Schizosaccharomyces pombe: one gene and its partners. The protein of the gene in region 1 binds, or shares a complex with, the protein of each later gene. Each region holds a gene or a part of one and is shown on either strand. Other genes may lie near its edges.

Region 1 (9,955 bases):
GCTATTAATGACGCGTTTATGGTAGAATCTGCTATTTACTTTCTTTTGAAAAAGCATTTTCGTCAAGAGTCATGCTACGTTGATCTAATTGAACTTTTCCACGACGTAACTTTTCAAACGGAATTAGGGCAGCAACTCGATTTACTTACTGCTCCCGAAGACTCCGTCGATCTTTCGAAGTTTTCTCTTCAAAAGCATTCTTTCATTGTAATTTACAAGACTGCATTTTATTCCTTTTATTTGCCTGTCGCATTGGCAATGCATCTCGCTGGTGTAGCTACTCCTGAGAACTTGAAATGCGCCCAAGACATCCTTATTATCCTTGGTAAATACTTCCAAGTTCAAGATGATTATTTAGATTGCTATGGTGATCCTACGGTAACTGGTAAAATTGGGACTGATATTTTAGACAACAAATGTTCTTGGATTATCAATCTTGCTCTCGCAAAGTGTACTCCTGAACAACGTGTTATTTTGGACGACAATTATGGACGTAAAGATAGCGAAAGCGAAAAGAGAGTTAAAGCTGTTTTTGAGGAACTCAATATCCGTGGTGAATTCGAGAACTATGAGGAATCAGAAGTTTCTGAAATCAAAAAGCTAATTGATGGAGTTGATGAATCAACCGGTTTGAAAAAATCCATATTTACCACTTTCTTAGGAAAGATTTACAAAAGAAATAAGTAAATTTCTTGTTCTATGTTTTTATTCGACTCAAATTGGCAATTGCGCTGTAGATACTTTTTAGAGAATACATCCATTGTTGACAATACCAACTTTTAATATTGAATCATTGTATTGGTAAAGGACCTGCAAAATACTACATAACTTATATCATTAAAAATCCAGTTCTCATGAGGCGTATTAAAATATGTAACAAAAGGTGGTAATACGACTCCAAAATGAATCTTGACACTAGTATATAAAATGCGGTGTATAAAAGATAGCAAAAACAAAATGAATCCCAATTGGCGTTTACGCGTATAAACAGGGAATTTCTAAAGATTACAAATTAAATAAACTTTATTCTCTGCCGCGACCAAATAGTTGTAACATATATAAACATATTCCTTACGAAGGAATTATCTTAAATAATCAGTGGGTTTGTTTTCCGCCGCTAATGCCTCAATCTGACACCATTGCTGTTTTCTAATAATCATAACTTCTTCTTGCTTTATAATGGCCTGTTTATAATCCTCAACAAGTCCATTAAAAAAGTCCGCATCCATATCGACAAAAATTTGTAAAACATTACAAGCAATAGCTTGTATAGTGCTATTCCAATGCTCATTAGCAGTTTTGTAAAGAGAAGGATATATTATAGGGAGAAGGGTTACTACGTTTTGGCTGACAAGACTTGTGAAGTACTCATTGCTCCACAGACATAAGGCACGTTCGGCGACCTGGAAATGCATACTAGATATTGAGCGAGCTAGTTGCTGAAATAAAGGGGACATTATATTAACAAATTCGGAAGGCTCCAAAACTTCAAAGATATCTTCAATTTCATTCAAAAACAGTAATTCTTTAAAGCTGTTTATTCGTGGCCAGTACTTAAGAATGCCAGTCAAGACTGCCTTCGTTAAAGAAGGATCTTTATCGATAAACTGAACAATGCAATACGTAAGTTGGGGATGGTATAAAAAAACAGATTTAGTTTGATGTAAAGGAATAAGCACTTTGGACAAAAATATTTTATGTTCTTCTTTTAAAGGTACAGCAAATCCATTAATAATACTAATAAGTTAGTTTGTAAATCAATTTAGGAACTATAACCATTAATGAAACATACCTTCCAAGTATCTCCAGTAGTTCAGCGATTCCATGAAATTTTTCTCGTTCATAAATGAATTGCAAAAAAACATTATTCATAGACTTTCTAATGTATGACCTAAGGTTCAGAAATTTTCCGTAAATCCTATGTAATGTTGTTTTCAGAAGTTCGCGCTCACGCGGGTCTTCTGTGTCAAATAGTGCTAGCAAGCGATTAAAAAACCTACGATCAACGAGCGATTTTGCTTTACTGGCTCTAAAGTCAGGAGATTCTAGGAACTTAATAAATAATAAATACACCTCTTCCAAGTGAGGCCACGCTGGCTCCAAAAAAGGCTCATCGTCTAAAGCAAACATATCTGATGAATAATCATTAAGAGCAGGTGATATAGGCCGAAATACATTGAGGGAAAACTATAGTGATTAGATTTTTACAGTAATAAAAAGCAGAGGAGTAAACATACTGTATTGACAACATAAGGAAAAAGCGATGCGGAAGAAATACCGCGGTTTTCAGACACATAATCTATCATTTGTAATAAGGCTTCTCTTTTTATTTCTTTGCTAGCCAAATCGGAAGATGGATCATTAAAATCGAAAATAATATTGCATTGTTCAAGCTTCTTTATAAACAGTTCTTCACGTTCAGAGGTATGAACATCTAATTATATTAGCACAAGAATAAAAAAAAGTACATTATTAAAATAAGATATAAGAATCTTACTAAACGTACCATCAAATGAAGGCAACCGAACTAATGTTCTTTTCTCAGATACTTGAAATTGAGAGGAGTGTTCGCGTCGAGGTACTGGTCTAAGACTATGCGGAATGTCAACATTCTCAGCACCTGCTAAAAATTTATTTAAGGGAGTTGGCTGTGAAACTAAATAAGGAGGAGTGGATTGTGGGACAGATAAAAATGAGGCAGAAGATATGGAATCATTAGGAAATTCGTCTATGTTAGACGATACAGAATCCTACAAGTAAGTTAGTATGAAAATAATCATTTTGGTAGAAAATATTAAACTAACCGACGTATACTTACATTTTTTGGTTCTGGATAATTAGGTGGGAAATGGTTGGCGTCTTTAACTTTAGAAGTTTCAATTACGGGCAAAAACGTAGAGTAATCAGAATCCTCATGTCCAGATGCTAGAACCGTCGTATGTATTTTTTTATCAGAATTTTCATGTTTTTCATTATTTGAGTTGGCATGATGATTTCGTTTGTGCTTTAAAGTATCTTTTAGGAAATGACTCTTAAGTTTTTTAAGCTCGTGTTTTGAAGAATGGTGAGTGTCTGTGTGCTTCACGTCGTCAGTTTCCACGTAAGACCCATTTTTAGAGATATAGTGGCTTTTTGAATGACCATTTTTATGTGACCCTTGTTCATCCTTCAACGAAAGTGCTTTTACAAATTTACTCCTTAATCCTTTCATTAAAAGGCAAATGAGATGATTTCCTTGCTCAATTGCAAGTTATAAAGATAGCGAATAACCAAATTTAAAAAACGAATGATTCCTAGGATTGGGACCGAATGTAATTTCGAAACTTAAATGAATGCACCTATTACTGAATATGTAAACGTTGTCTTTCTTCAAAAGAACGTCTGTTAATAAATTTGTACACAATGATGAGTTAGAAAAGGGTAAATTTATGTGGTGGGTAAATAAATGATTTGTTCCTTTCAAGTACTCCGTAAATATGTCTCGGCAAGTCAAAGAGTTAACGGCAACAACCTCGGTAACAGAATTCTGAGCCCCTTTATAAGATGGGTATATAAGCTAAACACCCTAGGGAATAGTTAAGAGGGTTAACCTTGAAACTTCCTGTAATGACAACTTTACTATGAGTTATGTTTGGCAAATGAAGCAAAACGGGGCGAGTGGCTCGAATGTTATGGGACGCTACCGAAGGCTGGTAGTATGAAATAACGTACTTGGGAAATTGGCTGGTACTGTGAATTAACGGATCGGCAAAAATCTTGTGTTATGATGTTACTGTATTGTTGTACGATGTCCGAGGTTTGGAACAACATTATTTTAGCTGCCAAAAAATTAAAATGCTTTTGAAGCAATGATATTGATGTGTATCAATTAATTTTTCATTTGAGGAATAAGTTATCCAGATTATTAATTAAATTACTTTAAAAGCAAATATATATAAAGTCTTTGCCCTACTTTTTCCAGTGTTTTATAGCATACCATATTAGGCATATATCTTATGAATAGTCTAAAAATTTCTGACAATGAATATGCACTCATTGAGCATCCGGGCTTTGCTAATAACAAGGATGCATTTTTTCAGACATTAGGCGGTGTTCAATCAATTCAAAAGGTAAATTGCTAAAAAAGTATAGGAATGACCGGCTTACATCTTTAAGCTTCCCCTTTTATAAAACATGAATTTGATAATCTTTTTTGACCTAATACTAACAATTTCTAGGCATGTCAAACTTCATTTCAAAACCCAAAACAAGCTCTGTTGGAGTTGAATCTAAGGCCTAAAGATAAATACCATCATCCAGTACAAGCTCGAGTGCAATCCAGAAATGACCTATTAGTAACGATTAAAAAAATGGACAACTCTGTGCAAAATGTCAGTAGAATTCGTCAAGTTTTCTTATTCAGAGATATGGCTGATTTCCAGTATAGTACTCAAAATTCACCATTCGTTCAAAAATTAGATTCCACTCTGCGAGTGCTTGACTATAACGCCATTAATAAGTTTTCCATCGATCTAACTCCGGTACAAAGAAAACATGTCGACATGCCTCCTCCTCCTGTTTTCTCTCAGACAAGTCTACCCATGTCTTATAACTTCTTGCAAAATCCACTAGTAGGTCGAGTTCGGCTACCTAATGGGAAAACTACAATAGTCAATCTAAAAGGTCAATGCAGAGTTTGGATTATCACTACAAATATGGGGGTTGAAAGTGTACCTACATGTAGACACTCAAAATTAGGTGAGCCTTCGAAGACAATTCAGGAAGTTATAGAAGCTTTAAAACCTCTTTTTGAAAAACGACCCGTTTGGACGAGAAGAGCCTTATTAAATCATCTAGACCCGTCATATACTCACTATTTGAAATTTGCTCTTCCTTACCTTTCTTATTTATGGACTTCAGGTCCATTTAGAGATACATATACGCGGTTTGGATACGATCCTAGAAAAGATTCTAATGCAGCTGCTTACCAAGCTTTGTTCTTTAAACTCAAGCTAAATGGAAAACATAAAGGGACTAAAACTCACGTGTTTGATGGCAAGACTTTGTTTCCCACTAATCGTGTTTATCAAGTGTGCGATATCGTAGATCCCACAATTGCACCACTACTGAAAGATACTCAGTTACGTTCTGAATGTCATCGGGACACAGGATGGTATAGAAGCGGTCGTTACTATAAGGTTAGAGATCTTATGCGTGAAAAACTCTTTGCGCTGATCGAAGGAGAAATGCCTTCTGAAGTCGCGGTGAATATGATTTTAAACGCCGAAGAGGTAGAGGAATCTGACAGATATTCGAATTTTGATGAACAGGATAATACAGATTTAAATGATACTGTTAGAGGTTTGAATACTTCAGCAACAGATGATCGGATAAATGATTTAATGAGGAATTTAATGAAGAGAAGTCAAGAACATGAAGGCTTTGAGGATTTAGAGGAAATTGATGATGACTACGATGATATATTTGGTGATTGAACCCCCCCCCATGTCAAGGTACTTCGATACAAAAAATTATACTCAACTTAAATTTCATTATATTCTTTTTTGTTTAACTGACCATGGTAAATGGCTTGTAAAACATAACTTATGAGTAGGTTTCAACTATCAATTGTTTCTGATCTTTAATTCTCATTTTTTAATTCTGAAGTAGCTCGCTTGATTTTGTGGTTACAAATGTCAATAATTTTATCAGATGTTTAATCTTACAGCTGCTTAGTGGTGCGCTAGTCGATTGCCCCCGGATGAACCAAACAATAATACTACGCTGCATAGCGCAATTTAAAGTACATATTTTTTCCTGACTTGTTAGTACATAAACTGAGCCAACCTATTTGGCGAGGTTGTAATTGTATCTCCATTCTACTATTTCAATAGTACTTTTGGAGTTTGTATCATTTTAGACGAAAATGTTGGTTTATTATGGTGGATCTGCCTTGAGCGTTCAGAGTAAAAAAAAAATTTTGGAACTAACAGTTTCTGGAGTTTCTGATCTAAATGCTGTTTATTTCTACTTGATCTATACTAAGTCCAATTCTTCTTTAAATTGCGAAAGTCTGCGACCAATTTTGTCTGATTTGCAAGAATCTGAATTCAAGCCTGATGGAACAACGATGGTATATGTGTTTCCACGTCCAGGAACAATTTCTCCTTGGTCATCCAAAGCAACGAACATTGCCAATGTTTGTGGATATAAAGATGTGATTCGTATAGAGAGAGGTATTGCCTATTCAGTAGTTTTTAAAGATGACATTTCAGAAGAGATGCTTAAATCTGCTTTGAATCATCTTTATGATCGCATGACTGAAGCTTTAAGATTTAAACTTCCGGAAGAGGATGAAGTTTTTGATAAGCACGAACCAGCTCCACTTGTGAGAATAGAGCTTAACTGTGGGCAAGGTGGTGACAAGCAGGCTGCAACCGAGCGATTGAATCATGCCAATAAGAAGTTTGGATTAGCTTTGGCACCTGATGAAATTGATTATTTGGTTGAGTGCTATACCTCAGAGCCTAGTTTAAAGAGTCGTGAGCCTACAGACGTCGAACTTTTCATGTTTGGTCAAGTTAACTCAGAGCACTGTCGTCATAAAATTTTCAATGCTGATTGGACTATTGATGGCGAAAAGAAAGACTACAGTCTATTTAAAATGATTAGAAATACCCATTTAAAAAATCCCCAATATACAATTTCTGCTTATTCTGACAACGCCGCTGTCTTTGAGGGAAATTCGGGAACGTTGTTTGCTCCAGTCAATGGTATCTGGTCAATGAAGGATGAACCGGTTGAGTTTCTTGGTAAAGTTGAAACACACAATCATCCTACCGCTGTTTCTCCTTTTCCTGGTGCCGCTACCGGATCAGGTGGCGAAATTCGTGATGAAGGAGCTGTCGGGCAAGGCTCTTTATCCAAAGCGGGACTTGCCGGTTATAGCGTTTCAGACTTAAACATTCCTGGTTACAAGCAACCTTGGGAGTTGGATGTTGGAAAACCTTATCACATTGCTACTTCTCTTGATATTATGCTTGAGGCTCCAATTGGCAGTTCGGCTTTCAATAATGAATTTGGACGTCCTTGTATCAATGGCTATTTCCGCACATTTTGTATGGAAGTTCCACGCGGCGATGGAACTCTTGAGATACGTGGTTATCATAAGCCAATTATGGCCGCTGGTGGTATTGGCCGTATTCGCAAGCAGCATGCTTTCAAAAAAAGTATTGCACCTGGTAGTCCTATTATTGTTCTAGGAGGTCCTGCTTTATTAGTTGGTTTGGGTGGAGGAGCAGCATCCAGTATGAATGCTGGTGAAGGCTCTGAGGAACTAGATTTTGCATCTGTTCAACGTGGTAACCCTGAAATGCAGCGTCGTGCCCAAATGGTTATTGATGCTTGTACAACTATGGACGAGAATATAATTCAGTCAATTCACGATGTCGGTGCTGGTGGTGTATCCAATGCTTTGCCAGAATTGGTTCATGATGCTGGTTTGGGTGCCCGGTTTGAATTACGCGATATCCCTTGTATTGAACCTAGTATGTCCCCTATGCAAATTTGGTGTTGTGAGTCGCAAGAGCGTTACGTTTTATCAGTTAAATCAGAAGACCTGGATACTTTTAAATCCATTTGTGAAAGAGAACGATGCCCTTATGGAGTTGTTGGTTACTCTACTGTAGAGCAACGTTTGATTTTGACCGATAGACTTTACAATACTACTCCAATTGATTTGCCTATGGAAGTACTGTTTGGCAAGCCTCCCAAGATGTCTCGAGTAGCTGAAACTCAAACAATTCCCTTATCTAAATTTGATTCTTCTTTGAAGTCATATCTGGCGCCATCGAGTGACCCAATTCTTGATGCTGTGGAACGCGTATTAAGAATGCCTGCTGTTGCGTCTAAATCCTTCCTCATCACCATCGGAGATCGGAGTGTCACTGGTCTGATTGCTCGTGATCAAATGGTTGGTCCTTGGCAAGTACCTGTAGCCGACGTTGGCGTAACCGTCACGTCCTATGGAAAGGGAATTAACACTGGTGAAGCCCTCGCAATGGGTGAAAAGCCAATCAGTGCGTTAGTATCCGCTGCTGCCTCCGCTAGAATGGCTGTCGCTGAATGTATTATGAACCTTGTAGCAGCATCTATTCCTGCTTTAGATCGTATTCGTCTTAGCGCCAACTGGATGGCAGCTCCTTCGCATCCTGGAGAAGGTGCAAAACTTTATGAAGCAGTGCAAGCGATAGGCTTAGAACTGTGCCCATCACTTGGTATTAGCATTCCTGTGGGTAAAGATTCAATGTCCATGAGTATGAAATGGAATGAAGACGGTAGGGAGAAATCCGTAACTGCACCTCTTTCACTTATAATTACTGGCTTCTCTCCTGTTGATGATCTTTATTCCATTTGGACTCCGCAATTACGTAAAGTTGAGGACATCGGATCCACCTCATTGATTTTTATTGATTTAGCAAATGGAAAACAACGTTTAGGCGGTTCTATACTTGCTCAGTCCTATAAGCAGTTGGGTGATGAGGTGCCGGATCTTGATAATTTAGACACTTTCAAGAATTTCATTAACGTTATTACTCAACTGCATAAAACCAACTACATTCAGGCTTATCATGATAAGTCTGACGGAGGTTTGTTTGTTACTCTTAGTGAAATGGCTTTTGCCGGTCATGTTGGTATTGAATGTGAGTTAGATTCTTTGTCATCCGATAATATTGCGGCTTTGTTCAATGAAGAATTAGGCGCTGTAATTCAAGTTTGTGATCGTGACATTGCCAAGGTATTGGAGTTATTTGCTGCTAATGGTTTGAGTACTTGTGTTCATCGCATCGGTAAAGTACTTTCCGGCCAGGCTCAAACAATATCTTTTAGCCGTTCTGGTAAAATAATCTTCAAATCAACTCGCTCTAAATTACACGGAATTTGGCATGAAACCTCTTATAAAATGCAAGAAATTCGTGACAATCCTGAATGTGCACGACAGGAAATGGAAAATATTGCCGATAATAATGATCCTGGTTTAGGATACCACCTTACATTTGATCCAAATGTGTCAGTTACCGCTGATTTGGCTTTAACTAGTCGTCCCAAAGTAGCAATTCTTCGTGAACAAGGCGTAAATGGTTATTTGGAAATGGCATATGCTTTTTATGCATCCGGTTTTACTGCCGTGGATGTTCACATGACTGATATCCTCAGCGGTAGAGTTCATTTGGATGATTTTGTCGGTATTGCTGCTTGTGGTGGGTTTTCTTATGGTGATGTTTTAGGATCTGGCAATGGATGGGCTACTTCCATCCTTCTTCACGAAGATGCTCGTAATGAGTTTTACCGTTTCTTTAACGAGCGTAAAGACACATTTGGTTTGGGTATTTGTAATGGATGTCAACTGTTCAGTCGTCTGAAATCACTTATTCCAGGAGCTAAAAGCTGGCCTATGTTTACATTTAATGAGTCAGCGCAATACGAAGGTCGTGCAGTTATGTTAAAGATCGATGAAACAAGTGGTTCAAAATCCATTTTCACTGAAAGTATGGCTGGATCTAGTTTACCCGTGGTCGTTGCCCATGGAGAAGGTAGAGCTGTTTTCGATTCAGAGTCCGATTACGAACAATTTAAGAAGGAAGGTTTGGATTTGATATACTACGTTAACAACTACAACGAGCGTACTAGCCGTTATCCATTCAACCCTAATGGAAGCAGAGATGCTATAGCTGGTGTTCGCTCCCCTTGTGGTCGCTTTTTAGCTATGATGCCTCACCCTGAACGTGTAGTTTTGAAAGTTGCAAACAGTTATTACCCTCATTCGAAAGCTAGCGAGTGGGGCGTTCATGGTCCTTGGATCCGTCTTTTCCAATCTGCTAGAAAATGGGTTGGTTAAAGCATTTATCTTGCCCGGAGAAGCTGAATTGGAGTTCACATGCCGTAGTTTCTTTACAGTTTTGGTTTGTTTCGTGTT
Region 2 (12,232 bases), on another chromosome or scaffold:
CTTGAAAGCACTATTCACAGTTAATGCATGGTCGTTTATTTCTAGATTAAAACTAACCTTTAAATTTGGTTTGAGATCCTTCCAATTCTTTTTCTCTGAAGCTCTGTATCTGTGCGCGAATGTCTTGAATGTTTGAGATGGTTTTCACATCTGGTGCAATTTGAAAACCAGCAAGCGTGGACCGCATAAGTTCAATTGGACTGTCTGACATATTTACTTCTCTTTTATTTATGTTCTTTTGTGTTTAAAAAGTAATTTCTTTGAAAACTTTCAACGTGGTCGTAACGTACGAAAAGGTACGAATGATGCTACCGTAAATAAAGTATGGTTAGAAAATCAACCTTACTCTACTAATATATATATATATATATATATATGCATACGTAAATTAGTTAAACAAATCTACATGATGCAGGTTTTTTCTTTTTTCTATAGGAGCTAAAGTTATGTACATAAAACAGAAAGAAAAGAGATAACCTCGATTCAAGTTTTCTTCACCTTTTCAGCAAAACAGTCGATGAAACCTTTTTGATTTTTATACGATATAAAGTTTAGATGGAAGAAAACGCGAAATCAGATTAATTCAAAACACGCTAATATAATTAATTATAGATTAGAAGCAGACACAGCGTGGTATCTTTTAGATAATTTAAAAATGAATCCTAAATACTGTACAAATAAACATTAAATCGTTGCTTGTAATATAAATGTTCCAAATCGACAAGCCTATTGAAAGAAAATACTCAGCTTGCATCATCTCATCATGGTGACATTTAAAAGGCTAAGTTAATTTAAAGAGATAATTATGGTTTAGATATAAGCCATCCTTTTCAATAGCGGCACCTGCTGCTATAAAGTAATCAAGTACTTCGTTAAACTCACGGGGTTCTAATCCGGGAAATAGTAAGTTAGTCAGTTGGGATCTCAAGATTCCGGGTTTTCGAAGCAGTTGGTATACAATGGACTGCTCGATATTCATCCATATCATCTCAATAAGCTCGCATTTACCATTTAACCATAGCCGTGGCTCATGCGAAGGTGGAGTTGCCAACTTTTCAGTAACACCATAATTTTTTTTAGATTCACTTTCTTTGCCGCTGAGAACAAGAGTTACATTGATATTGTCATGTTCTAGCAAACGAGTACGATAGCCTTCAGATAGACCATACTCATTAAACTTGCTTCCGACTATAGATATTTGCAACTTTCCTTGAGATAATAAATCAAGGATACATGCGAGAGTTCCACTGTTAGATGTTTCTTCAAATAAATGATTCTTATGATTTTGAAAACCCTCCAATAAAAATTTATTAAATCGCTTGGCTTGTGACAATAAAAATGGAGGTAAAGGAGACTTGAGGGAACTTGCAAATTTCTCCGTAAACTGGAAGTTTCGACCAGGCTGCAATCTACTGTTTTCTGAATTAACTCTAGTAATTATTCTCTTATCCAATAATTCTTGATGAGCAGCGATGAGAATATCTTCTGGATACTGCATAAGACGTTCTTGCGAAAACCGAGCATCATATGTAGCGTCTGGGATGGCAACGATGCTCTTGATAGTAGACTTCGCATCAAACAACTGACCTTTCTCACAATTCTCATCCCCTTCATTATTTTGTTTGTCATTTAAGGAAAGCGGCATGGTAAAAGGCATATCACAATACGCATTCATTTTCGAGGCAACTGACAGGGAAGGATCAAATATCATTTCCCGGAAATTAGTTTCTTGTTTAACAACCTCTATATTGTAAGTTTCATAAACGTCAACGAGGTCTCTCGGTAACCTAGTAGTAGCAAGATTTGAAGAACTAATCATATAAGGTCTACAAGACGCCTTAACATATGGGGTAGGATCAAAATCATCAACAGAATCAGGATATGGCATTAAATCTTTTCTTGAGACAGCATCTTTGTACATTTGCTGCCAATTTTCTGATAAAAACTGTTGCAAGCCTTTAAATTTTGTATGTTGTCTAATGGATAAATATCTTCTAGTAAGAGCATATATGTCCCGGTTAGGAAAGCATTTCTGTACAGCCTCCCATTTGATTAATCTGTTGGTCCCACCATAATAAATTTGAGTAATAACAACCGCTCTAATCAAGGTCTCATCCTCATCTGATGTAAAATCATTTTTGAAGCGTTTAACTGAACGTTTGCTTGCATGTTCAGTTGAAGAAAAATAATCAAATTCCTCCACTGAAGCGTATCTATCTTTCCGCAACTTTTTAGGTTTTTCTACTGGGCTTTTCTGTTGGGTATTTTCGTGCAGTGCGAAATCGGGAGCCAATGATTCTAAAAGTTGTTGCGCGAGTCTCATTGGATCGTCTTTCTCCTTTTCATTTTTCTTCACCTCCTCTTTATCAACAGGTTTAGTCTCAGAAGATTCCTTGTGACGTTTTATTTCCGCTGGCATAGATTTACGCCTTGACAAAGAAGTATTCCTTTTCAAAAAATCGACATCTACATCTTTTAATATTTCTGGAGTTGATTGTTTTTCGATTTCAGGAGTTGTAATTTGAGCTCTTAACTGTTGAAACCTAGGTGAATCAGGCTTCATATCGTATTGTACCACGATATCTTTTCTAACGAGCTTCCCAAGTCCATTGTTTGTTGCAATCACTAATTTACGAACCTTTTTCTCTTGCATTAATTTTTCAAGGGTTTGCTGAAAAGTTCTCCTATCCATAACGGTCCTAGAAGTTTCCGGGTTTCGTCGCACTTTAAGGTCTGCCAAGTCTTCAAACATCTTTCGAGATATTTCAAAAGCCCCATTCTGTTCAACGAGATAGGAAAGAATTAAACCTTTACGTTGTAGGAATATAAAGTCTACAGATTCCAAACGGCGCTTTTTCGTAGGGGATGAAAAGTTAGCCATTAGACTGCCTGTCGAATGGGATAATTGTGAGTCTACTGAAACGGGATAATGAAATGAAGAGTCTAAATCAATTGAGCTTTGAGAATCAGAGACTTGTAAAGAAGATGTGTTTCCATATTTTAGGTGATCTGGCGAACTAACCGTGAAATTCTTCGAAGGAACACTTGATGACACGTTCAAAAGAGGCTCCAAATGTTCTGCTTTTTTAACATGGTCTTCATTAAATTCTGGGTTTTTTAGAGGAGCAAGGCCTCTATAAATTCGTGACGTTTTCGAGGGTGTCAAAGATCCTGCTATGCTTAGGTTGCTACTAGTGCTAGGGGTAGAAATTGTAGCATTTTGGATGAACCCTTCGGAAACTGGTGAAATAGCAAGGGAAGGTAGATTATTTTCATTTTTAGAGGGCCGAATGGGAGATGAGGTTACAGAAATATTTGCAGATTTTCTAGGTCTACCTCTTTTTCTTGGCAATAAAGTCATTCCGTCGGGAGATACTTCCGCATTAGATTCCATATTTCCCTTATGATGTAGAGAATTTAAGAAAAGGGAAGAGTCAATTGGAGAAAATTCACCAGCGAGTGAGTGAACGTGAGGTAATAGCTTCGAAATTGTTTCGGCAGGAATGCCATCTCGAATAAGGCGATTTAACTGAGACTGAAGCGTAAAGTATCTATATTGTCTCGACTTTTTAGTTTTATCTTCAAATCGAGTAATACTCATGTGTGAGAGATGGTTTGGCACACTGGAACGATGTTCCACTAAAGAACCAAGGAGCTTAAATAAAGGTTTGTTAAAACGTATTCCTGTAAGGCCACTCAAAATTTGTAAAGTGATTACCCCATGAAATCCGGCATTTCTGATTAAGACAAAACACTGGAATTCCAATGGACGAAAACGAGACCATTGGGGAAGAGTAGGTCCAACGTCGGCTAGTGGCTGCAAAAAGGAAGCATCAAATTCTTCTTTTGACGGAAGGAGTGGTTCTTCTTCCTCTAATTCATCGTCTTCTGGAATATCATCCACTTCAGTAAAATCAACGTCGTCCTCAGTTGCGTCTAAAGATGAAATGTAAGGTTTTATAAATTGTAAACAGCGAATGCAACGCTCTGGAGAGTTAGGAACAAAAGTAAGGCATTTGCGAAGGTATCCATTATTGTGTAAATATGTAACTTGTCGAGCATAATATCTTCGTTCCCAGCGACTGTGGTTTAAATTCACCATCGCACGAGCATCAACATGACGGCAAATTCCGTTACGTGAAGACTGAACAGCATCACATATATTGCTACGAATTTTTTCAGTGTTATAAATTTGCTTACCAGATACCTGAGCAACAGTTTCGTTAATTGTGCTGTTCTCTGACTCAAATCGCTTTAGAACTAGCAGAGCAGTTTGTGCTCTGCTTCGATTAATGGCAACCTTTGATATTAAAGAAGCATCTTCTAGCGCTTGAATACGACCGTAAACGCTTCGAGGCTCCTGCTTAGTCTCCTTACATAATTGGATTCTATCAACACCTTCCTGCCTATATCTAGATATGCAAGACAATAATTCAAAGGCTAAAGGTTGAATTTTTGAATCTGTCTTCGTCTTGTAAGTGAGAGTAAGCCATTGCCTGTCTTCTGAAGCGAATAAGCGTATACGAGCGCGTAACTCAATCGTGATATCTTGGTAATTCCAAGGGATTTCTTGCATTTTACTTCGTAATCCAGTGGCATCTTCATCTTCAATCCAAACCTCAATTCCATCTTCTTTTAAAATTAAAGGCCACACAAATGTTTTATAGTTATCGTCTAAATTTTGTACGATACCTTGCCGAAAAAAAAAATTTGCAGCAAATTCCCATAAACGATCTATGCTACATCCCGATGATCCATCCAAAGCAATTTCTTCTGAGCAATGCCGAATGAGTGAATCCATAAGGGCGATTCGAACGCTGGTTCTAACACTATGTACAAAAGGAAAGCGTGGTTCGAGAGGTGAAAGTTAGTGAAAATAGTGATACTTTATGAGTGTTTTTAAAATTTTGTTAAATTTTATACAGAAGAACTTAAAGACATATTTAATATACTTTAACCGATGTATTGAGTTATACGACTGCTAAATAGTATACCGACACAATAAACGACTAAATCGGTTCACATTTTAATATGCTCTTATTCAGTAAGCAGATGGTAGCTATTATGAGTATATTCTCATATGCCAACCTTGTAACCGAAATGATGGTTACATAAAGCACAGCTCTAAATGATATATACAGCTGATAAAACAAAGTAAGAAAACTTTCTCAAAACTTTTCTTTTAAATATGAATTCTGGAATATTGAAGTGAACGCTAAAGTCCGCAAAACTGAACATTTAATTAGCACTAAATTGAAAAGGGCACATGGTGGAATAGTTTACAAATTTTCTGCTACGCGCGGCAATACCCACTGCAAAAGCATAATCTTTTCTCTGACTAAAAGATTCTTTTTAGAATAACAATTGCGCAATTTGCAAACTACTCAGAGGCCAACAGAGATGAGGATTCTTTATGAAAGTATAATCTTAAAAAGGTAAAATGACTTAAACAATTATTACTAAACAAACAATACATTTTTCTGCTTGTTTGAAATTAGACTACATTAAATGAGCTAAGGACATAAAATGAGTATTCTATATTTAAGGAGCTTTTAACTAATAAAATATACTATCAATTGTGTATTAATTTTAATGTCAGGCGGTATAACAGTCGCGGAGATCTAACTAGCTTACCGTAATATAGTGTGCAGAGATTATGCAGCTAGTAAATAAGCAAACCCGTTTTATTATGTATCGTACTGCAGTAGTCCAGATATGTGACATTTCCTGATGCTCTACCATTATTAATCGTCAATTGAACTCTTTTACAAATTAATATAAATTTATAAATCCAAATCCTTCTTTTTTCTGCACTATTTTCAATAACTCATAAGACTACAGCTCAATTTGTCAACTACAAGTATTTTTGCAAAGTTTTGGGAAAAACTCCCAAGTTTTACTAAGTTTTACTATTTTAAAGCTATTTTTGAATCTTCGCATTACGAAATGGGTGGAAATAAGCGTGCATACTATGCAGTAGCGCGTGGTCGAAATACTGGTATATATAGTACATGGTAAGACTGCGTATCTCAAGAAAATGGTTTCGTTGTTAAATATAAGTTTCACGTTAAGCAAGTTTCGATACGGTCGTATGCTTTGCTTCAATTCAATCTGAATCGGTTTTTTCAAGATGATCTCTTATTAACATTTCCTTGATGGATACACCTTGTTGTTTAACAAACTCTTACTAATTTTTAGGGATGAGGCGTCGGATCAGGTGAAAGGTTATGGAGGTAATCGCTACAAGAAATTTGACAGCTATGAGGCTGCTCAGGAATTTTGCAGGACCGAAGGAAGTCGCTACTCCTCGTCTTCTGGCCCATATCGCCGCAGTACAACAAGTTATGGGTACTCTCCATATTCTTCTAGTTCCTCAAATTACTCTGCTAGACACTCCGATAAATATAGAAAGAAAATTTCTAGAAGTTATAGTACCGAAAAAGATATTGAAATATTTTCGAATGACACTCATGAAAAATCAATTGCGTGCTCGGATCGACAGGTCGTCTATGCTGACGGTTCTAGTTTGCGAAATGGGAAAAAAGGAGCTGTTGCTGGCTGTGGAGTTTTTTTCGGAAATGATGACCCAAGAAATATTTCAGTACCGTTGGCTGGGGAAGAGCAAACCAACAATCGTGCGGAATTGCAAGCCATAATCCTAGCCCTTGAAAATACATCTGGCGATTTGACCATCCGCTCTGACAGCAATTATTCCATTAAGTCACTAACCACATGGCTGCCTAAATGGAAGAAAAATGACTTTAAGACTAGCAATTCACAACCTGTAAAAAATTTGGATTTGATCAACCGCGCTTCAGATTTGATGAGTGACAGAAATGTTTCGCTAGAGTACGTGAAAGGACACAGTACCGATTACGGTAATCAACAAGCCGATATGCTTGCTCGGCGAGGAGCTTCTGAGTAAATGGTCATCTATGATGAGCGCTGTAAAAAATGGATATAGGTACATTCTTTTGAAATTTGCCGTATAATTTTCGTCTACTCTTCGCTGGTTGTATGTGCTTTTTTTGTTCTCGTTTTGCATAATGCTACATATTTTATTGTAATTAAATATCATGCTATTATAACAATTTTAAAGAGGAAATTGAAAAGTATAGATTCGGAGCTAAGATAATTTTATTATTTAACGTTGAAAATGACACTTCGCACTAGTCAACAATTCCCTTTTCAATTAAATTTGGTTCGGTGTCTTAACGGCAGTCATCGAAATCATATTGCAATGGACTTAGCAAAGAATTAATAACAATTCGCTTCGTAATGAATTTGAAAAGGCTTAAATAGTGGTTTTGAAACGAACATTCACAGTTAATAGGTAGTTATTTGACTAACGTGAAGAAAGTGTACCAAAAATACTTTGAGTTTAGACAATGGGTGTCTCTAGCTTTTACCCACCTTTGCATGTACAGCGTCGAAGGAAATTATTTAAAATACTTCAAGGAGGCTTCCCTGTGCGATCTTTGTTAGACATTGGATGTGGAGATGCTCGTTTTCTATCATATTTAGTACCTTGCAATGATCAAGTGCCTATAGAATTTCTGGCCGGTATTGATATTAACGAACAAAGTATTGAAAGAGCTACTGAGGCTTTACAGGTTAGAACCGAAGACTTTTTACAACTACGTTGGCGACCGCTACATATTGAATTATTGCTTGGTAATATTAAAGATTTTACTCATTATAAACATGTTGATGCGGTTGTAGCTTCAGAGTTTATTGAGCATTGTCAAGTTGCAGAGATTTTAGCCTTTGAAAAACTTGTTTTTGGAAACTTGAAGCCCAATGTTTGCGTAGTGTCAACTCCGAATTTTGAATTTAACACAATCTTTGAGAAACTATCAACCTTGACAAGTAGTATATCATCTCGTACTTCTACCAATTTTAGACATCCTGAACACGTTTTTGAATGGGATCGAAAAGAGTTTGCTAAATGGGCTTATAAAATTTGTAAAAGATACCCAGAGTATACTGTTGAATTTACGGGCTGTGGTTTGCTAAATGATCTAATAGATGGTGACGATTTGTTACATTTTCGCCCATCATCTACTTACGGTTTCTGCACCCAAATCGCAGTATTTCATCAATCTAAAAACAATGCTGCTTCTCATTGCTTCTTAAAAGACCAAAATTCAAGCATCCTTCTTTACAAAAAGATTACATACCCATTTATGGAGCAACTATTTCCTCCAACAGTGCAGCAATTTATGAATCTTCTGAAAAAAGCATTTTTTGATCATTTATTTGGACGTCACTGTTTACTTTTATTCCAGGTTATTGCTGGCAAGTGTGCTTTGTCAGTAAAATTACCTTTCTTGTTTATCTGGGAGTCTTCGCCTCTCATTCGACATGCCTTCCATTATGATGATTCAATTTACTTATCATATTGTCCTGAATTAAAAAAAAGCAAACATAAAGGTATAGCTTTGGCAAACTCGTTTAGTTTTCGCATTGCAAAAGTACTTAAGAAAAGTAGAATTTTTATTATAACTTTTCATCATTACGTTTGATATACACATTTAGTAATTAAAAACATCCATCTTTTTCACCAGGACATTTCATCAAATCTTTTCAGTAAGTCAACAGATTGCTGAAGTTTCTTGTGTTCTGCAATTCGCATATAAAATATGGGGCAGTCTCTACTGGTACAAATGACGTCTTGATGCATACTTCCTTGGCATCGCTGACATTGAGTCCATAAGCGAGCAAAACGAACTTCTAAATCATTCACTTGAGCAACCTGACGTTGATACAGTTCCGCCGATCTATTTAGACAATTCTCACATAAAGCAGTTTTACCTTTTTTTATGGGAGCTTTGCATCCAAGACAGGTCTCAACCTTTACTGCGAATTTCATTATTCCTCCAACACTGGGGGCTGCCATGGAAATCGTCCGAGTATGGTCACCATGAAGTAAAGAGCTAGCTTTTTCACCAAGAATAGGCTCAAAAATTCTAAGCAAAGGTTTGGAGAGTTGATTTTCCAAATAATATTTTGCATCAATAGGAATGTTATTTTCCAATACATATATAGGGTCCTCCGACCTCATATAAAATTGATCACCTTGTGCACCTTTAATAATAACGTATGCAACGCGATCTCCTATGGCTGGGGCGGAGCCAGCATCTCGTTTACGCATTCGCTCAGCCAATTCAACGTGTGCCATTTTGGCAGCATAATCAGTTTTTGATAATGCCTTTGTGATTACAAGTTGTGACATATCAATTTTGTTTTGTAACAAATCGGAAATAACTTTTTTTGTAAACAACTGTGCACCCTCTACATCCTGATCAATTAACATTTTTCTCAAAGCTGTGTCAATCACATAAGATACTAGAGGACAGTTATCTCTTCTGACAGTTTCTATTCCTTTAGAGTCCATTTTATCATAAGTATCTGTACGAGTCCAAAATAATCCTGCATAACGTTTTTTGGAAATTAAAAGATATGGAAAGTACACTTTCTCAAACTCCAGTTTAATAGGATTCGGAAACTGGTCTGAAACATAATTAGCTGCTTCCTCTCCTAATTTCATGGCTTCAGGTAACGTTTTAACGCCAAACTTAACCATAACAGAATCAGTGTCACCATAGATTACAACTGCATCGTGAGAGTATCCATTCTCAATTCTGTATCTCTTTTCTACAACATCCTTGGTTTTTTCAATCATTTGTCGACCATAAGAGGTAACAGAAGAAGAAATTGCTAAACACGGCAAACGTCCGTTGGTAGCACCAGTAAATCCATATACTGAATTAGCACTTACTTTTAAAGCTAGCTGTCTACCATCCAAAACAGCCTTTTTGAATGGGTCCGTTTCCTTTTTTAGATCTGCTTTTGCTTTCTTACGTGCATTAAGTAAATCAGCTAAGATAATAGGGAGTAGTCCTTTACGAACATGTGGTTTAACGAAATAATCTCCGTTCGGAGTCACTGAGTAGTCAACATCTTGCTTAAGTTTTAATAATTCTGCAGTATTTGAGTCAAGTAATGTCGTATAGCATAAATTATGGGCTTGCATAATCGAAGGATAAAGTGAACTAAAATCCAGTGTTGCAATAGGGGTATCATAGTATCCTTTAATCGGTTCAATGACTGTAGCACCTTCATATTGCTCATCTGTTCCATTTACACGTATATTTGGAACAACTAGGTCATGTTGAAGAGCTTTGCGAAACAATTGAGAAATAACTTTAATCTGTTGGCCTCTAGCAAGAAGAAAATTAAACGGTACACCTGTTACTCTTGCCATTTCAGTATAGTTAACAAAACACATTAATTTGTCCATTAAGCGTTGGGGTAAATATGCATCTTTCAGACAATAAATAGCTAAACGTCTTCTAGAATCGGCAGTGCCATTTTGCAAGTCAGTGATGATAGAATAGTGTACATCTTCTTTTTGCTCGCCTAGAAACTGAGAGCAGACTGCATTTAAAGAGTAAGATCGAAGCTTAAAATCACGCTGCATTACTTGTAACATATCAAGCTGCAAACGCCCAGGAATACTAGTGGTTTTGCTTTCACGAGTACCATATGCTTTACTTGAAAACGTGGTTTCCTTTGCGACAGAAAAAAAATTATGAATACGGCCAAGTAATGGGAAATTGTGAATGCGTAAGCTTTTTGCTCGATCCAAGAGGTAAGGGATATCAAAGTTGCAGATGTTGTACCCAATTAAAACATCTGGGTCAACATCACGAACAAATTTTGACCAACTTGAAAGCATTTCAGCCTGATTTTGAAATTCATATACTTGTGTTCCAACGATTTGTGAGCATGTATCAACACAAAAGACATTACGAACAAAAGGAGTGGAGTCTCCATACTGCGTTACTATACTTGCAATTTGAATTACAGGGTCAATAGAGGGATCAGGAAAAACGCCTTTGCGACCTGCGCATTCAATATCAAAGCTCATGATCCTCAGTGGGGCCATTTTAGACCACTGGCCTTCAGCTGGAAGACTGATCAAGTCTTTGTAATTAATCCAAGCTTCAATTTGACAATTAGAAACTCGATTCTGGTAACGAAATTGATATTTTGAAGCAGGAAGATGAATCCAATTCATACCAACAACATCACAGTCAATCATGAATCTAAGAAGATATTGCGTATTGCTCTCAAAAGTAGTGACACCGACACCAACAGGGAAAAGCTCTTCGAAGTTGAATTCTCCTCTTTCAAATACATTTCGTGCTCGAGATAATATACGAGGGTTAGTAGTAAAGATTTTAATGAATGGAGATTTTTCATTTCCCTGAAATCCATATAAATTTTCCTTCATCTCTATAATGCAATGATCGATCACACCCCCATTACAAGTAGCATCTAAATCTTGTGTGAAACGTTCTAGCATCTCAGGTCGAAATCCAACCGGGGCTTTAACATAAAAGTACGGAAGGAATCCCACAACATGAACAAGGATGCTGTTTCCATTGTCAGTAACACCAAACAAACGAATTGAAGGTACAGATCCTTCTGTGAACTCCTCACTATCGATTTGCTGAAAATAAATATCATCCTTCTCAGGATTTATTGCAGGTAAAGCTGGTCGTTGCCACTGCTGATCTTTTGAAGCTATCAAGGAGTCAGTATACTAATAAATGGTTAGCTATCCAAAAAACCTTACATTTTATTTCATCTTGGTCCAATTGTGAAGCGTATTCAGCCAGCTCATCCTCAAAAGATGAAGTTTTTTCTTTTGAGGATGAGCCCTTTTTATCACCATATCCATTTCTTTCGCTTAAACGTCGCCGTTTGACATCTGTAATTTCGCCATGAATTGAACCATTTCTTCGGGGAAATGGATAGTTTTCTTTATTTAACACGACGCCCTCATTTGAAGACCTATCTGTCATTCTAGTAATTAATTTTTTATTTATTATGAAAATTAGAACAGAAAATGGTAAATAAGGAAGACACCAAGCTTACATGCTCTTGGTTTTTGGTAGGAAGACGAGCAACTAAAAGGGTTTTGTAGGTAACAACAAATAGGTACTTAGGCGAATATCTTGTAGGTAAGTTCAAAGCGTACACCAATAAATTTTGGTATGAGTGTCAACTGCTGAAAAGGTAAAACCACATTAAATAGGTTAGCTGTCAAATTACGATGGAGAAAGAAATCAAATATACAAGTTTATACCAATCTCCATCAAGCTACATAAACCACTACTTAATGTATTCTTGGGCATAACAAAAGACTAATTTATTATTAATG
Region 3 (9,927 bases), on another chromosome or scaffold:
ATAATCCATAAGTAAACCATTTTGCAGATTCAACAACACGTTCCTGTTCAGCCGTATTTATGTCGTAAACGTATGAATCAAAAAGTTTATAGTAACGCTGGTATAGCTGACGACCCAAGTCGAAAAGTTCGAGACGACCACGGCTGGAAAGTTGATCGGCATTTTCTGCATCTATTACAGGAGTCCACTGCTTAATAAAACATAAGGGATTCTCGGGGTAGCTGAAGTTTACGGGTATTGAGCCGTTTAAAAGCTTTTCCTGAAAATTATTTAAATATTGTGAACTATATACATCAGTGGCAGTTACATCGCCCGTTGGGTTTCTGGAACCGTGACGTTGAAGAAGATGAACTTGTTGGATCTCACAGGTTTCAGGGAAAGCAGAATCAAGACCATCAAAGTAGGGCTCATGATAAGGACTTAATGTTCCGAGATGTTCCTTGAAGAAAAAATTGCTTTCATAATCCTCAAACTGAACATTATCGGCATTGACGATGAACGCAGCTAAGAACCAGAGAGAAATGATACACAACTGCATCACGAAAATATATCAGCCAAACGAGTAAAAGGCCTTCTTAATTATTCGATTAGTAAAGCAGAGCTTTTGAGGAAGAAAAATTAAAGGATCAAAGTAAGAAATTGATTAAAACGAGTGACAGTCCATTCAACCAACAAACTGCTGGTCAATTGAGGTTAGGAGCGACTTTGAAGGATTAATTGAAAGGTAACCATTAAAAGATACAACGTAATGGTCCTATACGTGTAATTCGTGTATCTGCCAACAAAAGCTGGTAGCTTCCACTAAATTGAAATCTGCTGCCGATGCCGTTCCAGTGAAAACGTAAAACATCATGGCAGACGCGAACTGTTAATGTACGTTACAGTCAATACGGATACAAATAACGAGTTTCGACTAAACATTTTAACACGTATAAGAATTTCGATGTTAAAGTTATTTATAGATGTGCATGAGCGCGGTATTTCCTCCTGAAGCATATTATCTTATAAAGAAACATATATATTGCGCTTATTGTTATTCTTATACGCAAAGTATCTATTAATATTTTTAAATACAAATTAGGTCAATAAAGTCCGACTGAAGGAGTAATTTATGTTTTTAACAGTGCTTCTCTAGGTTTAATATTACTTAAATCACCTATAGCTGTAAAAAGGTAATAAATGACCTTTTGGAAGAATACTTGAATGCGTCTCAAGTATTTAACGCGGTCTAGTATAGCATAGCGTAATGGAGTACAATTAACTAAACTAAGCACGGTGGAAGCACAAGTTTTCAAATTTTCATCAACTGTAAGCAAATGGCGGACGAACCATTGCTTCTCAATTTTGTTGTTGATAATGCTCAATCAAGAAAGCCTGAAGCCTTGAAGTCTAGTCGTCGCTGGACTGATCGCGCTAGAGATAGAAAAAGGCAAAAACGCAATTCTAATGAATCATCAAAATCAACCGTTAAAAGAAATTCAGGCACAAATGGTGCTTCCACTGATTATAAAAATTCACAAAAGGAAAAAGTAATAAATCCTGTGTTTGATCCTAGAAAACCAGCTCATGAGCTAAAAGGCAACAAGCGCGATAATACTTTTGTTACATCTTTGTTTACGGGTGATGATTCTGAGCATTTTTCACAGGACGTTGGTCAAAATCTTGAGGATAATCAAATTAGTAATATTGGGACTACAAAGGAGGCATCCAACGCACCTATTAAAACTACCAACTTTGCTGGTGTTCAATTAGATACTCAACTGGCTGATCATTTAAATAATAAAATGAACATTAGCGCTCCCACTGCTATCCAAAGCTGTTGTCTTCCAGCATTGCTAAACACAGATGATAAGGATGCGTTCATTGAAGCACAAACCGGATCGGGTAAAACTTTGGCTTATTTACTACCAATTGTGCAACGATTGATTCGACTTCCTAAAAACTTACACACCCGTACTAGCGGTATATATGCTGTGATTATGGCTCCAACCCGGGAGTTATGCCAACAAATTTATAACGTTGCTAACAAGCTCAACAATAATCCGTTATCACACTGGATTGTCTCCTGTAATGTGATAGGTGGTGAGAAGAAAAAAAGTGAAAAGGCTCGCATACGAAAGGGTGTTAATATTTTAATTGGAACGCCTGGTCGTTTGGCGGATCATTTAGAAAATACGGAAGCACTGGATGTTAGTCAAGTACGATGGGTCGTTTTGGATGAAGGTGATAGGTTGATGGATATGGGGTTTGAAGAAACTTTGACTAAAATTTTATCTTATTTGGAATCACAAAGCAGTATTATTAAGAAGGATCTCAGTATTCCTTCTCGTAAGGTTACAATGCTTTGCTCCGCTACAATGAAAGATACCGTAAAGCGTTTAAGTGATTCCGCTTTAAAAGATGCTTTGTACTTAAAATCATCTATTGTGGAGGAAACCAATGACGGTTATAGCCAGGCACCCGAGCAGCTTCTTCAAAGATATGTTGTTGTTCCTCCAAAACTGAGGCTTGTAAGCTTGGTTGCCCTATTGCGAAGTCATGTTAGATCATATAAGAAAATAATAATTTTTCTTTCTTGTTCAGATAGTGTTGATTTTCACTTTGAAGCTTTTAGATGTGCGATAAACGCTGATGAAATGGAAGAGGCCGTGAAAGAGAAACCGGACTCTGAGGGTGATATCATTTCAAATGCTCCAGCTCTGAGAATAGATGGCAAATCAAATGTATACCGATTACACGGTTCCTTGTCTCAACAAATCAGGACTTCGACGCTGAATCTTTTTTCTTCAAGTGAAGATTCTGGTTCACATATACTTTTGTGTACAGATGTGGCAGCCCGTGGTCTTGATCTGCCAAATGTTGATTTGGTTGTGCAGTATGATGCTCCGTTTAGTACCGACGATTATTTGCATAGAATTGGCAGAACAGCTAGGGCTGGACACAATGGTGCAGCTATTATGTTTTTACTCCCGAAGGAAAGTGAATATATTAATTTGTTAAAGTCTTCAGTTAGCGCTAATATATTGGAGCAGCCTAATGGTCCATCTGGGTTGTTGAGTGCTGGTTTTTCGCAAGGTAAAACAAACACCAATGATTGGCAAGATCGTGCAACAGAATGGCAGTTGGAATTGGAGCGTTTTATATTAGAAAATGAACCTATGAGGAATATTGCAAAAAGGGCTTTTACTTCTTATGTGAGGGCTTATGCAACACATCTTTCATCAGAAAGAAGTATTTTTAACATGCGTGACCTTCATTTGGGACATATTGCTAAGTCCTTCGCTTTGCGAGAAGCGCCGGGCAAAATATCTGGTGCAAATTCTTCAAAGCCAAGAAAGCAGGGTGGTTCGGTTGATAAAGGTAAAAGTAAATCATCGAAAGACATTGCTGCTTTGATGCACAGAAAAGCAATGGAACATTATTCAACGGAACACAATATAGGATAAACATTATTTGTGTAAAATTTAAGGTTCAAACGGTTTTTGGTTGGCATTTGTATATATTTATATAATTTAATTTCGATCTTTTAAACGCAATAACAATCTTTCGAAGATAAAATCTCTTGCAAGTGATTATGGAGAAGTTAAGTTATCATTTCTAAACAAGTATTGAGAGGAATTATGAATGGCGTGCCATGGTAATGCTTGGCAATTGTATCTGCTATACAGGTTATGTATAACAGCTGAGATATATCAAACACCACATAATATTACTATTGCTGCTTATGTAGTAGTCTTGCACCATTGCGTTATGTGATAACTCAATTTCAAGGACTCACTATCCCTTATCCAAATAATATTTGTAATGTCAGTTGTGGAGCTACTATTTTAAATTATTAAAAGATTCAAGACAAAAAATAAAAAAGTTAGGAATAGCCTACAGCACCCCGGATTCCCATGTTGTCTCCAACCATAGTACTAACGAGGCCCTCAGACGCTTAACTGCAGTGATCGGACGGGAACTGGTGTTTTCGCCTAGGTATGGCCGTAGACGTTTGTACCTAACGATAATTCTTTTTAAAATTAAACAAACAATTAGAAAATAATGAAATCCAAGCATCAAAATTTAAAGATTTGATCAAGAAAAAACTGCTATAGGAGGTTCCTAATATTAAGTTTGAACTACTGATTAAATTATTTAATAGTAGCATCACATACTATTCCCTATAATCCTTTAATAGTGTCAGAATAATGCTCTCAGCAAACCCGTAGTAATTGAAAGAAATTTGTTGCATATTTACCAGTGAAATTGAGCTAACATTTCACATAACGTTTAGTAGATTCAATATAACTATATATATATTTTTTTCGATTACCGAAATACTTCCTTTGACAAAATCGTGTTAACAGAACTAAAAATGAGGAGAGATAGGCTGGTAAAAAGAGCAATCGAATTTCATTGAATGTGTTAAATACTTAAAATAAATTTAACTATTTGCAAAATTTATTCTTTATGAAGTTTCTGCATGGACTCGTATTAACCAACAAATGTTTGAAGTTAAGTCTAAGTTTCACACTCACAATTAAAGCAGGATTGAGCTGAACCAAGACGAACAGCAACAAATTAAGAATTGGGATTTTTTAACAAATTAATTTTTTCAAAGTGGAATAATTATTTGAAATAAATATTTTCTTTGAGCACTTGCAAACGAGGTTTTGATTAGGTCAATATTGCTTTGATGAAGTTCACCACCATTCCTAATGAATATTGACGCGTATGGGCCCTAAATCTAAGGAATACGAAAATCCAAGCTCTTATAAAAACGATGAAGATAATGATGATGACGGCGATTTTGTTTTAGAGAACGTTATGTCTGAAGAAGACATAGAAATAGAAACACCGTCAAGAAACCGAAAAAGGGTAAGTACTACTCGTCGAACCCCCTCAAAACCTATTAGAAGTCAACCTTTAACACCTTCATCTTCCAAAGGCGCTGGGAATGAACCGAAGAGTCAGAATTCTAGTACTACTCGTGGAAGTGCTAAAAAGCAAAGTTCAAAAGGTTTAGAAGAGAAGTTAATAAATTCTTACGGGACTCACGTTGAATCTTTAAATAAAGGAAGGAGGCTAATCGAAATTTGGAAATATTATGAGACTGCTCCTGGTCAATCTTCCTTTGAAGGTCAGACGTCGTCTGATTCCAAGTTGCAAACACTTCTGAATCTCGACGGACAGCAGTTATTATCATATTCCGAAAATCCTTTTTATTTGTTTGAAGTTAAAAATTTAAGCATAAGTTTCCATTTTGAATCACCACAGCAAGTTGAACCCTGTCAACCGGTAAACCCTTTTAAGGAAAATCCACAGAAATCGGGGTTTGTGGTGAATACAGGGATTCCTTTATCGTCTGTTTCATGGTTACCAACAAATAAAGAAACACAGTTTTTAGCTGTAGGAGGGATGCTAAAATTTTCAGAAACTACTGAATCAGTATTTATGCGAACTTCTGGACGGAATCAAATTCAACTTTGGAAACTAGAAAACAAAACCAATTTTAAGTCGGAATTTATATTGTACCATGATTGGGGAAGTGTTCTTCAACTAGAGTGGTGCCCCACAATTTCGGTTGAAGATTCCATTCTTGGGTTTTTAGCAGTTGTCTGCAGCGATGGAAAGCTGCGCGTTCTTCGTGTACCTCGATCACCAGTAAAATTTCATGGTATTAAACATCTTTTTTTTTCATTCTCCTAACATGAACTAGTATTCGTCGAACAAGCAGACTTTACTTTTGGATTTAATGATTCTCTTATTTCTTGTTGCACATGGGTTTCCCCAGAACATGGCGATATACATCAAATTTTGGTCGGCTGCTCTAACGGTAAGCCTGTTAAACTAAATTATTGTTACTAATTAAGTATAAGGTTATTTAGCTCTGTGGGATATTTTGAGCAGCCAGGAATGTCCCCTTTTTTACATCCCATATCATGATTCTTACATACATAATGTAGTACAGTGCCTGGATGACTTTCCGTGGCTTTTTCTGACCACTGCATTTGATTGTTATACTCGAATATTTGATATTCGCGATCCCATAATTGATAATAGACCGCTTTCTCATAAACGAGGTACGATTATTATTATTATAGCTTCTTCCGAACTAACTTAATATCAGATATTTGTTACACAATCACTTGGAACAACATGTTGCAGTCGATTATCTCCTGTAGCGAATCTCAATCTGTGGTCATCGAATCTTTACGAGGCACTTCGACACAGTTATTAGATGAAAGAAACGGCTCAATAATATCTCTCTCAAACAGCAAGTTCCATCCTTTTGTAGCGTGTGCTGCTTCGGATGGAATAGTTACGATCGTCAATCCATTCCGTCTTTTGGGATTCTCTCACAAACAAAAAGCTAATGTGCATAGAATATTCCAGTTAGAATATAGCGAAAAACAGGATTCATATCGTATGTTAGATGGTTTTCGTCCAAGGCTTCCCAAAGCCAAAAAGCTAGACATGTATATTTATCCATGGCAAATCCAAGTGAACAAAGTCGAGTGGAATGGAAACAAAGGTTATGCTGGTTGGTTAGCTAGTGGTATGGCTTGCGGAATCCTACGAGTTGAAGATCTCTCAGCCGTTGAAAGAAGATGATAAAATTATCCTTTATTAATACAATATATACGATTTTTTATAAATAAGATCTAGCATTTGTGTTTCATCACTTTTTTTTGGAGAAAAACACATACATTGTATTCTATTCTATTTTTTCTGCATCATTAAGATATGGTTTTATGTACCATGTCGGTAATTTTCGTAGGAAATAAAAATGAGGTTCAAAAACGGCATTCAACCTAAATGTCAAATCTGATCTTCAGAATCTAAAAAGTTTGGATTATTTGATAACTTGTTTAAAAATTTTGCATGCCAATCCTGAAAAACTCGAAGTGGTATGAATGTATCATTGGGCCGCAGGTCACCTAACCCAATGGAGTTGGGAGGAAGTTGAGATGTCGCAAAGCTTGCTAGGAAATTATATAAGTTGGTTAAAATTTTTTGGGCAACAGAAGTTACGGGAGGTAAGGGTTTGGCGATGACATTCGATGCTGAAGTGCTTACAGCTGGTGTTTCTGTGAAATTGGTCAAAGGCTCTACACTAATACCTAACATGGCAGTAATTCCAACGCAATTTTCATTTTCCGAAAGAGTTTGTATGGTGTTTTTTAAACGGAAAATTGCACTAGGCTTTTCGTTTGTCAAATAACCTAAAAATTGAAAAGGCTTTCCAGGCCATTGAAAGTAAACCTTAGCACCCATTCCGACTGGGAATGGAGAGTTTGGCAAAAGAAAAACCACAATGTGATTCAAGCTTTCCGCAGAGTCTAGTTGGAAGACAAATTGATTATCGGCGACTTGTTGCAAATTCGTTTGCACTAGATTGTGTATTAGTTATGTGTATATAATAAAAACATTTATTTAAGTTTTATTTTTGAACTTCTAGCGTGAAAAAACTTCGTTTAATGTAAAAATTGTGCGAAAGTGCCAGAGAAGCGACATACCTAATCGACCAGCACAGATGGCACCAAACATGATTTTCGTTAAGTAGAAGAACTACAAGTACGCAGGAAACAAAAAAATATAGAGTAGTCTTTTCTTTGAAAAAGTCGTCTGACAATAAATTGGCCTGTACGAAAGGTTAGGAGTAAAAAACAAATCCCGTTCTAAAATCCTGCTACTTAGAAGAAGTAAAAATCAAGTAACAAGGTTGCTACATTTGATGACGTAGTATGGACTGGTACACAGGGTGAGGATAGAATGAGAATTAGCATAACGTTCTAAAATTTATTATAATTTTTTTTTTTTTTTATTTTTGTTGTTATTTATTTATTTTTAATTGGATTTGTTGACTTACAAGCCTATTTATGCGTTGTAATATTATCATTATTATTATATGGTATTTTTTTTTATTTGAACGATTCATCCACGTTAATAAATAAGTTATAACTACTAAAAAAAAAAAAAATTATATATATATATATATATCTACATGGAATGCTTGTTTGTGTCATGGGTACTTTACTATTCAAAGTACCTGAGCTTAGTACTTACCTATTTAATTATGATTTTTTGCGTATGAAAAGCATCTAACGCTTCTTTCTGCAAACACGATTTTTTTGGACTGCTGAGTTAAAACCTCATAACCGCATTTTTTAACGCAAACAGTGAACGATTAGGGACGAATTATCAACTGTTTTTAAGCAGATGTCAGTTTCAATACAACTAGCTACAAATTCTAGCAACAGTACGGTTGGACAAATAAAATATATTCAATAAAACATATGTGATAGTACAATTACGCATTCTGTTTTGTTCCTCCACTCCAAAGCGAAAATTAATTCCTCAAACATTTTTTTTATTAACCGAATCCATTCTGCAGATATTTGTAGTCAAACAAGCAACTAAATGTTCTATCAAACCACCTACTAATTAATGAAGATACAAACGATTGATCAAATTAAAAAGCATGAATGTCTCAAATCTAAGAATATTGATATTATCAAAAAATCACGACTAGCCTAAAAAATATAATGTACACCACAAGCGAACCGAATTTACTATCAAAACCAGTAAACAAGGATTGTAAAAGGTGTTTGTTCTAGGTCTCAAGCCATTTAATTACAACCTCATTGCTTTAAGCCAGACTGCAATTGGTAAAAGAGACCATTGGCAAAGAAAAATTAATTCCTTCAAGTAAATATATACCGAGAAGCAGAGAGCAGTCACATACGTTGAACAGTTGAATTCGTTATATTACATAAAGAGTAGCACAGTATTCAATCGTTCCATGGTATAAACAATAAATACACCAAGGATAAAAAATAAGAAATCAGCGTTACTTAAAAGTATTTAATTGTAGTGTACCCATATGGAATCGGACGTTTGTGCATCATTAATTTTACCATAACCGCGGAGTTTATACTTAAAGTCGTATAATAAAGTGAGTATGGTAAGTGACGACGCATTGAACAGCAAAGTGTCTCTATTCTATAAGCTGAACATTCAATTCAATTTATACGGCTACGTACTATATTCCTTCACGAGATAACGCTTCTAATTAACGTAATTATAAAGCAAGTAAGGTTCTATTGTTTTCAAGCAACTCTAAAATTTAGACAATTTGGATGCAAAATTGTCGTTCTTTTCCTGACATAATCCAATTCATCTTTACAACACTCCCTTCGTGCTTGGGACTTCAGAACTTCCAGTAAGACTAGTAGCCGCGCGCATGGCAACAGCCAGAGATTTAAAAGCGCTTTCAGCACGATGATGGTCATTACTACCATATAAGCAGGTAACATGCAAAGTAATTCCAGCTGCTACCGAAAAGGAATATAGTAAGTGAGGGATCATTTCACAGGACAATTCCCCAACCTTTTCACGCTTTAATCCCAAATCGATAACAGCATAGGGCCGTCCCGACAAGTCAACTACGCTTCTAGAAAGAGCTTCGTCAAGTGGACAATAAGCATGTCCAAATCTTTTAACGCCGGCAAAGTTACCCATAGCCTGCTTGAATGCAATACCAAGTGCAATAGCAGTATCTTCTGCAGTGTGATGATCATCGATGATTAAATCACCTCTTGAGTAAAGTCGTAAGCTCCAGCCTGCATGTTTAGCCAGTGCATGATACATGTGATCCAAGAATCCAATTCCCGTGTCTACTTGGATTACTTGTTCTCCCTTTTGGTTTGCATGCTTGGAAGTTATAAGTTCATCAATAAAATTCGACTCTTCAGGTAAGGGAGCTTTGTCCAAAGCGATGGCAACGCTGATTTTCGTTTCGTTCGTATTTCTTTCTACAAAAGCCCTCCTCATCGTGATGCAAAACTACTCTTTTCAATTAGATCAACCGAGAATTACAGGAATTTATGGAAAACTTCCTTATTAAAAAATGACAAATAGTTCGGTGTCGTGAAATTGCAA

What was found.
Region 2: sfc1 (region 1) and sfc3 share a complex: the UniProt entries of both Schizosaccharomyces pombe proteins name them as parts of the TFIIIC complex.
Region 3: sfc1 (region 1) and sfc6 share a complex: the UniProt entries of both Schizosaccharomyces pombe proteins name them as parts of the TFIIIC complex.

What each region holds. Positions count from the first base shown.
Region 1 is NC_003424.3:1,329,184-1,339,138, reverse strand, and holds sfc1 (transcription factor TFIIIC subunit Sfc1), read left to right. Parts: upstream 1-3,805; 5' UTR 3,806-3,995; coding exon 3,996-4,109; exon of another isoform or gene 4,110-4,165; intron 4,166-4,217; coding exon 4,218-5,474; 3' UTR 5,475-5,792; downstream 5,793-9,955. Other genes in the region: geranyltranstransferase Fps1, read left to right, coding at 1-687; serine/threonine protein phosphatase PP2A regulatory subunit B-56 Par2, read right to left, coding at 1,083-1,737, 1,793-2,187, 2,238-2,434, 2,507-2,750, 2,819-3,211; phosphoribosylformylglycinamidine synthase Ade3, read left to right, coding at 5,906-9,877. UniProt on the Schizosaccharomyces pombe protein: TFIIIC mediates tRNA and 5S RNA gene activation by binding to intragenic promoter elements.
Region 2 is NC_003423.3:2,743,484-2,755,715, reverse strand, and holds sfc3 (transcription factor TFIIIC subunit Sfc3), read right to left. Parts: upstream 4,834-12,232; 5' UTR 4,802-4,833; coding exon 782-4,801; 3' UTR 555-781; downstream 1-554. Other genes in the region: protein Spc24, read right to left, coding at 1-10, 58-211; ribonuclease H Rnh1, read left to right, coding at 5,947-6,014, 6,199-6,925; hen1 (S-adenosylmethionine-dependent methyltransferase), read left to right, coding at 7,389-8,525; DNA polymerase delta catalytic subunit Cdc6, read right to left, coding at 8,561-11,592, 11,645-11,873. UniProt on the Schizosaccharomyces pombe protein: TFIIIC mediates tRNA and 5S RNA gene activation by binding to intragenic promoter elements.
Region 3 is NC_003423.3:2,257,498-2,267,424, forward strand, and holds sfc6 (transcription factor TFIIIC subunit Sfc6), read left to right. Parts: upstream 1-4,687; 5' UTR 4,688-4,716; coding exon 4,717-5,659; exon of another isoform or gene 5,660-5,701; coding exon 5,702-5,818; intron 5,819-5,861; coding exon 5,862-6,065; intron 6,066-6,112; coding exon 6,113-6,597; 3' UTR 6,598-6,667; downstream 6,668-9,927. Other genes in the region: SPOM_SPBC21H7.03C (multiple inositol polyphosphate phosphatase), read right to left, coding at 1-538; ATP-dependent RNA helicase Dbp7, read left to right, coding at 1,317-3,446; hikeshi family nuclear import carrier Opi10, read right to left, coding at 6,805-7,376, 7,503-7,533; imidazoleglycerol-phosphate dehydratase His5, read right to left, coding at 9,169-9,819. UniProt on the Schizosaccharomyces pombe protein: TFIIIC mediates tRNA and 5S RNA gene activation by binding to intragenic promoter elements.